Bombyx mori: one gene and its partner. The protein of the gene in region 2 interacts with the protein of the main gene of each other region in a pairwise test. Links are inferred from orthologs where the notes say so. Each region holds a gene or a part of one and is shown on either strand. Other genes may lie near its edges.

Region 1 (4,347 bases), on a different chromosome or scaffold from region 2:
TTGCTCCTTCCTTGAGTTCATCAGTACGTTCGGCAGCCTTTCCTATGGCGTCAATAATGCCCGCAACTTCATAGCCAGGGAATAACGCACCGTCTCTTATGCCGATATGGGCGGGAATCGTGGTATGAGCGTAACCATCCATCTCCCCAGTAAAGCTGCCTATGGAAGACACAGAAGAAGTACTGCACACTGAAGTCGATCTTGTTCTGTTAGCCCGGTAACACGCTCCAGCGTACACAACTCTAATCCTAGCTCCGTAGAGGGGCACGTCTGGTACTGGCACGTCAAAGCTAAAGACACATTCCTTTATGGTCGGTCCGGGAGACTCGATCGACACTTGTTTGCACAATTTGCTCATCTTGCGGCTATTTCTCGATGATTCCGTTTCAAGTGACTGGGAACAAAAAATCGGATTATAATTTTACCCATGTAAATTTCTGTAAATGTCCTATGAAAGTAATTCTCTATAAATTAATAGTTTTTTTGTTTTTAAATAACAAAATTATGATGAGATTCGAATGGATTTCTTGTTAAAACCAAATCAATTACTCATAATATAAACATTCCTAGTTTAACAATATGACCTTAAGTTTTAATTTAGGGAAATCGAATATGTGTATCTATTCATTTTAAGAACCTACTTAGGAAACATAAAATGTACAGAAGAGAATAACACTGGGATCGTCATAAAAATTACCAGAGCACTTCCTTAATAGAATTACCTGTGGATATGGGCAACATGCTACGTTTAAGCCTATCCACCCAGAGACATGAGGTTAAGTGGCAGTTGTATTGGCTAATTGCTATCCTAGCTTTCGAAACAGAACACATAATTGCCACACTGCATTTAATTTGTTTCTAAATACTGATGGGGAGATTTTACAGGTATATAATATAATGAGTTGATTCAATTCTGGATTATCCTGCTACATACATAGCCTGCAACTATATAATATATATTTAAATGCACCAGGTGTGGCTTTCAGACCATTATATTTTATATCTTTTTACCCTCATGTTTCCGTAAACACAGATGACTATAATCTATAAGTAGCTAATACAGGACACTACTAAATAATGGAACTCATCTGCATCTACTCTGAATCAAAAGAAATAATTCATAGGAAATACGTGGCAGGGAACTCTAAGAATTAAAAGACATGCAAGTTACCTCTGTACACTGAATCATTGAGCAATCATCTGCAAATTGCTCAAAATGAAAATAATTGTACAGATTCTGGCCTATTCAGGTCTCAATGTAATAAAGACAAATATAATTTTAACCAATTTCACCTTGCAAGTATCAGTTCTAATTAGACATTTAGGGTTTGTTTGTAGATTTATTTTTTAAAGGGAAGGCATGTGAAAAACCTCCCAGCTCACCTGGTGTTAAGTGATTACCGGGGGCCTATAGACTTCAACAGTGAAAATATCATCATCCACCTTGACCACATGAGTTCTAAAGTGTCAGTTTTAGAGTAAAATGGCTGCACCACCCTTCAAACCAGAGCACATTACTGCAGCAGAAATAGGCAAAGTGGTCATACTTACCTGTCACAAGATGCCTATCATCAGTAAATACACAAATTCAAATTTTTCGAGGTACATACTATATTTAATTCACAGTGTTATTTATTCACCATGAAAGTCATTCATGTTATTTCAATACAAAAATGGGTACCGCTCGCAGGTTTTTAACGTCAGCATAGTCACGTGACTCAATAGGAATGTAACATGTGTGTTATCTTCTGGGCCACAATGACTAATCTTACATTACTTAGTGCTTCAAATGTTATACCAGACTTCACTTCAGATTATTTATAAAAATAATTATTAGAAGAACTTTAGTATGATAAATTAGTATATGAATATTAAAGTTTATATAACACAATTTTAGTATTAGTTATAAAAAGAATCATTAGTTTTTAAATACATGTAATTCATAAGATACTAAGCTGTACACAAATTGGCAAGAAACAAGAACCATCAATTATTGACTTAACAATTAAGAGAAACTCAATAATTGATATAGCAATTTATGTATAACTTCTTCCTAATGGGAAATACTATATTTAGTTTTCATAATTATATATTAATAGTTGGTCCATAATGTAAGACAATCATAGTGTACAGATGCATTATCATATTATTTGGACACAAACAAAGGGCAGACAACTCAGTAGTGGGAACAAAGGACAGATATAGTCAAATAAGATTTATTTATAACAACACAAATTCACACAGGACTACTAATTGTAAAATTACTGTTATAGGCACAAGCGCCAGATTAATATTGAAGTCTGTACACTTGGTATGTGTGTATTTCCATTAAAGTAAAAATAGTATGGAGCAAACTGTGATAGCACATTCATCATGGTATGTTATGAATCTCGTAAGCAAACAAGAGTAGGACAATAATAAACACGTATGATGCACTCAGTGATCACACCGCCGCTGCCTGACCACGGTCCGCGTCTTAGAATTACAAAGGTATATAAAGTTCGCTCTGACCTTCCTGTGTCCGAAGGTCAGAAGGAATGTAAAAAAAAACAATACCACCACACAAAGGACTACCTATGTTTAATCAAGGATCAATGCTAGCGGTGTCGCGTTTTGATTTAATATCATAAAAATATTTCACATGGAAAAAAAAAGTGTGGCTTTAATTTGTTTTAAGATAAAAATTTATAAAACGCTGTCTCTAATAACAAATAATTGGAAATTCTACGACTTTACCTGATTATTCAATAAGCAACGAAATCACTGATCAACGCGACGTTTGTCGCCGCGGGATAATTTTTAAATACAAGTTTTATTTTATTTACACGATTAAATGACAGTCTCATGACGTCACTGCCGTTCCGTGCACAAATCTATTTCACAATTTTAACAAATAAAAAGGAACTCATTCTTTGTCATTTTAAACAATACCGTAAAACAGAACGTGTTTATATTGGCAATACGACAAAGCTCCGAATTTTCCCTACTATTTGTTTTAATTTAACATATATTTAATTTAACGTACATTTTGAATCTTCAACATGGTCAGCGTCTGTAAACAATTTTTTTTATCCTCAAATGAACATAGTTCTTCATAGGTCGATTCACGATAACGATACGTACAACTGCTACATGTATAAACTGAAAACTTACTGAGACACTTTTAAATTTTCGGCCCTAGATAATCCTTTCTAGACACACCTTGAGCTTAATTTTTTTAAGCAGTTGTTAATATTTTTGGAATTCTAGAAGGATGAAACTGAGATGTCAGTTTTCATGCCAGAACTTCTTCACCATAATATGCTATATTTTTCAAAACATGCTTGATTTTCAAAATATTAAAGCTGTTCCAATTGACAAGATCTTTAAAATTATAAGAAACTAACGGCCCACTTAAAGTGAAACCCAAATTCTAAGAAAATATAGGATAGTGAATAAGCATTTTCTTTTAAGAGGAATTCATTTTTCTCTTATGTATCCATTAATTTTTCACGTTAATGTGAATGTCGTAATTAAAATTACATTAAAGAAATTAAAATTATTTACGACTTTCTTAAAATTAATTCTTCATGTCTAAAATCAAGTAGCGTGCTCTATTTACTTACAAAGCGATTCGTGATTCCAAACCATGTTGTAGCTAAAATTGAAGCTACCGCTATTTAAGTTTAGCGATTGATTTTGACATTTTCGCTCATGTATTAAAATCGCAATCAATAATATTACGGTTTTACATAACAATAAAACCGATATTATGTGCCGAGAAGGAAAACATACAGCATTGTATTATGAAGAAACAGTGTGTACTTAGCTTAGATTCCTTGTCTATGTCCAACCATAGACAGTCAATTTAGTTCCATCTTTAGCCGCTAGGTGCTGCCAGCAAGTATAAAGGGAGCGCAGCCATCTTTGATCTTCATAGTCTTCACCAGGAAGAACTTCCTGCAATGCTGTATGTTTTCCTTCTCGGCACATAATATCGGTTTTATTGTTATGTAAAACCGTAATATTGATGTGCCTTTGGAAAACATACAGCATTGTATTATGAAGACGTGTTTGTTATCTGCTGGTGAAATTATTAAGCACAACGCTATGATGAAATAGGTAAAGCCATAATAAAATTATGAAGCGCAATGATAATGTTCATAATTTATATAATTATTAAATCGAAAAAACAGTTGTTAACTTCCATGTTAATTCAATAATTAAAAAATATTTATAAGTTTAAACATTTTATCTTTTATATACAAGAAAATGTATAAATTGTATAAATGATGTATATACATCATGTAGAAGTAAATGTGTTGAAAAAAAGAATCTTGAGGATTTTTACGAAGCTCTATTATTCGG
Region 2 (4,548 bases):
GCTGACGCGGTGACGTGCCTCCGTGCATGTACGCCAAAGAGAATCACACTAGTGCACATGTGTTCACCTCGCGAGATCTGCATTCCGTGCCTCGTATCACGCCGTACTAATACGCCTTAGCCACATAATAATGAATAGATATTAAATACTATTCATTGTAAAATTTGATGCAACGTTTTTAACACTTTCATATTTGTCTAGCATTCCAATGGCTCCATTGTTTTAAGTTGCATTTTTTAAACGGTCTGATGAACAAGTCATTGAAATGTTCTGATTGTTTTGATTTTGTAAATACTTGTTAAATGAGGTACTGCTATATTTTTTTAATCAACATAATTTATATATTAGTGGTTATACGCTCACGGGCTTTGGTTACGTACCTATTAGACACAGGAAATAGTAGAGTCGCTAGAATAATTCAATAAAACCATCAGTAGGTATGTGATATTTAGATCATCAAGTCACGTTTATTGTTATAGGTATGTTCCGATATTACTGATTAAGGGTTTTGGACCGGATAATATTTAATTATATCAAAACATAATCAATCTAAAGATAAAATGACGCTATACTTAAAAGATACATGACTCATAAAATAATATTAATGTTGAAACATACTAATAAATATCAAGAATTTTGCAGTGTTCGTAGGTATTACAGTGGCTAAGTGAATGTGTAGCGATCAATCACAAATTGGTTACTCATCAGTGACTAATTCACTCGCAATCAAACCACTTCGATAAAGCGGCACTAGAACCCTCTCGTCGTGGCCGCCGGCAACTACATTCCCGATCCTGCGGACAGAATGCAAAGCAGTCGACGTCGCCCAAAACACGTCATTTCGGATCCTCCCGATCCACTATTATTAGCAAGAACTACAGCCAAAAAGAGTACCTACATTGTCCAGAGACATTCGACATTAGTTTGATTGCATTTTTTTCCCTACCTAAGCTGAGAGCCTTGAGAGGCTATTTCAGCGTAACCTTAACTAGTAGGTGAGCTCAAACCTGTCGACGTTGTTAACACGAACCCTAGCAAGAGCCGTGCTTCGCAGAATCTACCACCAGATCGGAAACACGACCCACTGCAAAGATCCGGCGAGAAACTCAGTGGGCTGTGTCTGAGGGCTAATTTACTCGTCGATCCCTTCGTCGCAAGTGACGGGTTCGACGTGAACGATGACCGGTGCTTGAGGTACCTAAAAACACCGTTAGTGGATCGGGAGGATCCGAAATGACGTGTTTGGGGCGACGTCGACTGCTTCCATTCTGTCCGCAGGATCGGGAATGTAATTACCGGCGGCCACGATGAGAGGGTACTCATGTCGTGTCGCTTTATCGAAGTGGTGACACCACCTTGCGTAACGTTTGTCAGATTAGAGCGGATATCTATCTAATCTATAACTATTTATTATGTTGCAATATTATATGCATTGGCTGCAGATTTAATTATTCTTGAAGCTAATTTATTATATCCCTGACTAAGGATTATGGGTAGACAGATAGATAATAATAGGTATTTCGAACACATAATATCTGTTTAGATGTTCGATATCCGTCCATCTCTGGGTGCTATAAACAATACATGTTGTTAAAAGCAATAATAGGAAACAATATTACTATTATCTTATCTTTCTCGTATCCGCTTTTTTTTATAGTACACATCGAACGAGGCGGTAATCTTCAAACAAATTTTATAGTTCAATTTTAATCCTTAGATGAACTTGTAAAATAATAATGTGTTTATTGGAAAGTTTCAAGATTACGATATTTTTATTGCACTGTTCATGGCACGAGTTCACGGCCCACTTGGTGTTCAGTTGCTACCGGGATCCACAGATGATAATAATAATAATAATAACTGGGAACAGATCGCGCACGGTCATCCGGTCTAATTTAGGATTGTCTGTGATAGGGGTACCAGACTGAAATAGATACTTATGTACCTTTCTTTAAATAAATTCATAAATAGATAATAAACGCCCAGAGACAGAGACCAAGCAAATCTGTTCATCACAGGAATGTTTGCCCGATGTGGGAATCGAACGAACGACCCTCAGTGCACAGCCACGGCCACTAACTACTGCACCATCGAGTCAGTCACAACGTAACACAACGTAAATGCCGATCCATCTTGAGACATGAGTTCGAAGTCTTATTAAAATTGTCAAGCGGCTGTCCCACATACATAATAATATGAAACCAAAACCCATGACTGTTACGCGGCAGAAATAGACAGGAAGATGGAATTTGCGTTCCAACCCGTGCAGGTATAATACGTCCTACCACTGGTAATTACTGAAATGTAATGTAATGCTTTTTTGGTTTTGATTTTTATTAAATAATGTCATTCTTTTAGCGTGGAAGTCGTGACCAAGTCTTACGAGTTAGTCATTATTTCTTTAAAAATTTTGGTATTGGTGTGACTACTTATGTAGGTGTCAAATAATTGACAGTTATCTAGATTTAAAGTATCGTAGATAATCTTAAACTATCGTAGATAATCTACTTTAAAAGAGCTCTCTGGGTCACGGATGTTAAAATTGAATTGAATCGAAGGTAAAATTGACTTTTCATTTTCTGAAATTGATTTTAATTTCAAAAATTGTGATTAAAGGGCACCTAAAAAAATGCATTTTTAATTTAAGATATTTTATACTGTTGTAACAACTCTTCACTAATTCATTATTAAGCTGATGGTTACTTACCCTGGAATGAATCAAATCGTTGGCACACATACTGTTGGTTTTCTTTGATTTCGAGCAGATACCCGCGAACGTACTTCTTACCGCTGCCAACATGAGAATAGTGTGACAATTGTCAAAACAATTGTTGATCGAGCCTCTTTATTAACATCCCTTATCTTTAAAGCAGCGCTATCTTTATCTAAATTGCGACCGCTGAATTGCTATAATTGTTATAAGCATTATACAATAGAACAGTTTTATTGTTGTCATACACGACATATTAAATTTGCTTCGTGTAAGCTTTTATATACCTGTAACGCGGTGAGTCGTGGTGGTCGCACGATTTATATTTTTGCTAGACTTAAAATTGTTCCTGTAACTGGATTACTTTTTCAATAAAACTTGATTACTGCCTATAAGTATGTAATTTTAAGTAACCATTTAATATTTTAAGTAATACATTTTTTTTAATTTTAAAGTATAGTTTAAAGGGTAATGATTAATGCTCCTCCAGTTATGTTTCTCATGTCTGAGGGTCGCGGCCACCTTTTTTTTTATTATTATTATTGACGCACAAAACAAATTACAACCAATGCAAATTGTAATGATTAATAGGTATCAATAATTCTTAAGTTTACTCATTCTTATGTTAGGTCATAGCAGGAAAATCTGAACTGAGGATTGAAGGTTTGGTAATACCGTTTTTGGCATACCTCATAATAGGTCTATAAGTAACTAGTTGTTACCATAAGTTGCCGTTTTACAATCCTGGCCAGTACGAAACTTAATGTATTGGCTGACAATAAATTCTAACATCAAATAAAATTTACTTAATAACATGGAAACTGTTTTCTGAACTGAAGATATGCCTTGCGTTGCTTAACAGTCATAGAAACGAAGGGAGCTTGAACCGCAATGTCACATGCGATGAAAAATGGGCCCTTTTTGATAATCCTAAGGGATCAGTATGTTAATTAGACCCTGGTTCAGCTCCTAGGCAATGCCCAAAACGGAAATTTACCGCTTGTCCCCACTGCCCCTGCACGATAACGCTTGACCGTGAAACAACAGATGGTCTCTAAACTACAAAAGCTAGGGTTGGAAGGTTTGTGTCATCCACCGTACACACCACACCTTGCGCCGACAGACTTGTACTGTTTCACAACACAGTTTTGACAACTTCTTGGCAGGGAAAATATTCGTGTCTCAACCTCATGTTTCGAGGGAAAATATTCGATACCCGAGAGGCGGTACAAAGTGCTTTTGAATAATGGGTACAACTGACTTTGCAAGAAGAGCGCTGAAAAATTGCGTCTGCCCTGACAGTTTTACTGGTGGTAGGATCTCTTGTGAGTCCGCGAGGGTGGGTACCAACACCCCGCCTATTTCTGCCGTGAAGCAGTAATGCGTTTCGGTTTGAAGAGACTTAGAACTTATATCTCAAGGTGGGTGGCGCATTTACGTTGTGGATATCTATGGGCTCCAGTAACCACTTAACACCAGGTGGACTGTGAACTCGTCCACCCATATAATCAATTAAAAAAAAGGCATTGATACCATGGATGCATATTTTGATTGATAGAAAAAAAAGAATGTTAAAAAAATATTGATAGAAATACAATAATAAAATGACCTACTTTCAGTATGTCAATATATTATTATTATAGTATCAACGGTAATTTCGTAGGTAAAGACCTAATAGTATGTCTAATATATGTATGTATGTATGTATGTATAGTATGTGTCTATGTAGGTAGGTATATAGGAGTGTAATATTTGCGTTCATACACTTATATTTTTAACGCAGTGACGTTTTTGGCACGGTTTCAGGTTTCACTGGCTTTTAGATTATCAGTGTAATC

The links. The genes of interacting proteins can lie anywhere in the genome.
Region 1: the proteins of hexokinase type 2 (region 2) and quinone oxidoreductase interact in a two-hybrid assay, tested with the Caenorhabditis elegans proteins (2 studies listed by BioGRID). The link is inferred for Bombyx mori from reciprocal best matches to the Caenorhabditis elegans genes hxk-1 and ZK829.7.

Annotation. Positions count from the first base shown.
Region 1 is NC_085107.1:1,996,422-2,000,768, reverse strand, and holds the start of quinone oxidoreductase, read right to left. Parts: upstream 3,060-4,347; 5' UTR 2,737-3,059; intron 395-2,736; 5' UTR 359-394; coding exon 1-358.
Region 2 is NC_085129.1:8,962,096-8,966,643, forward strand, and holds the start of hexokinase type 2, read right to left. Parts: upstream 2,825-4,548; 5' UTR 2,801-2,824; coding exon 2,708-2,800; intron 1-2,707.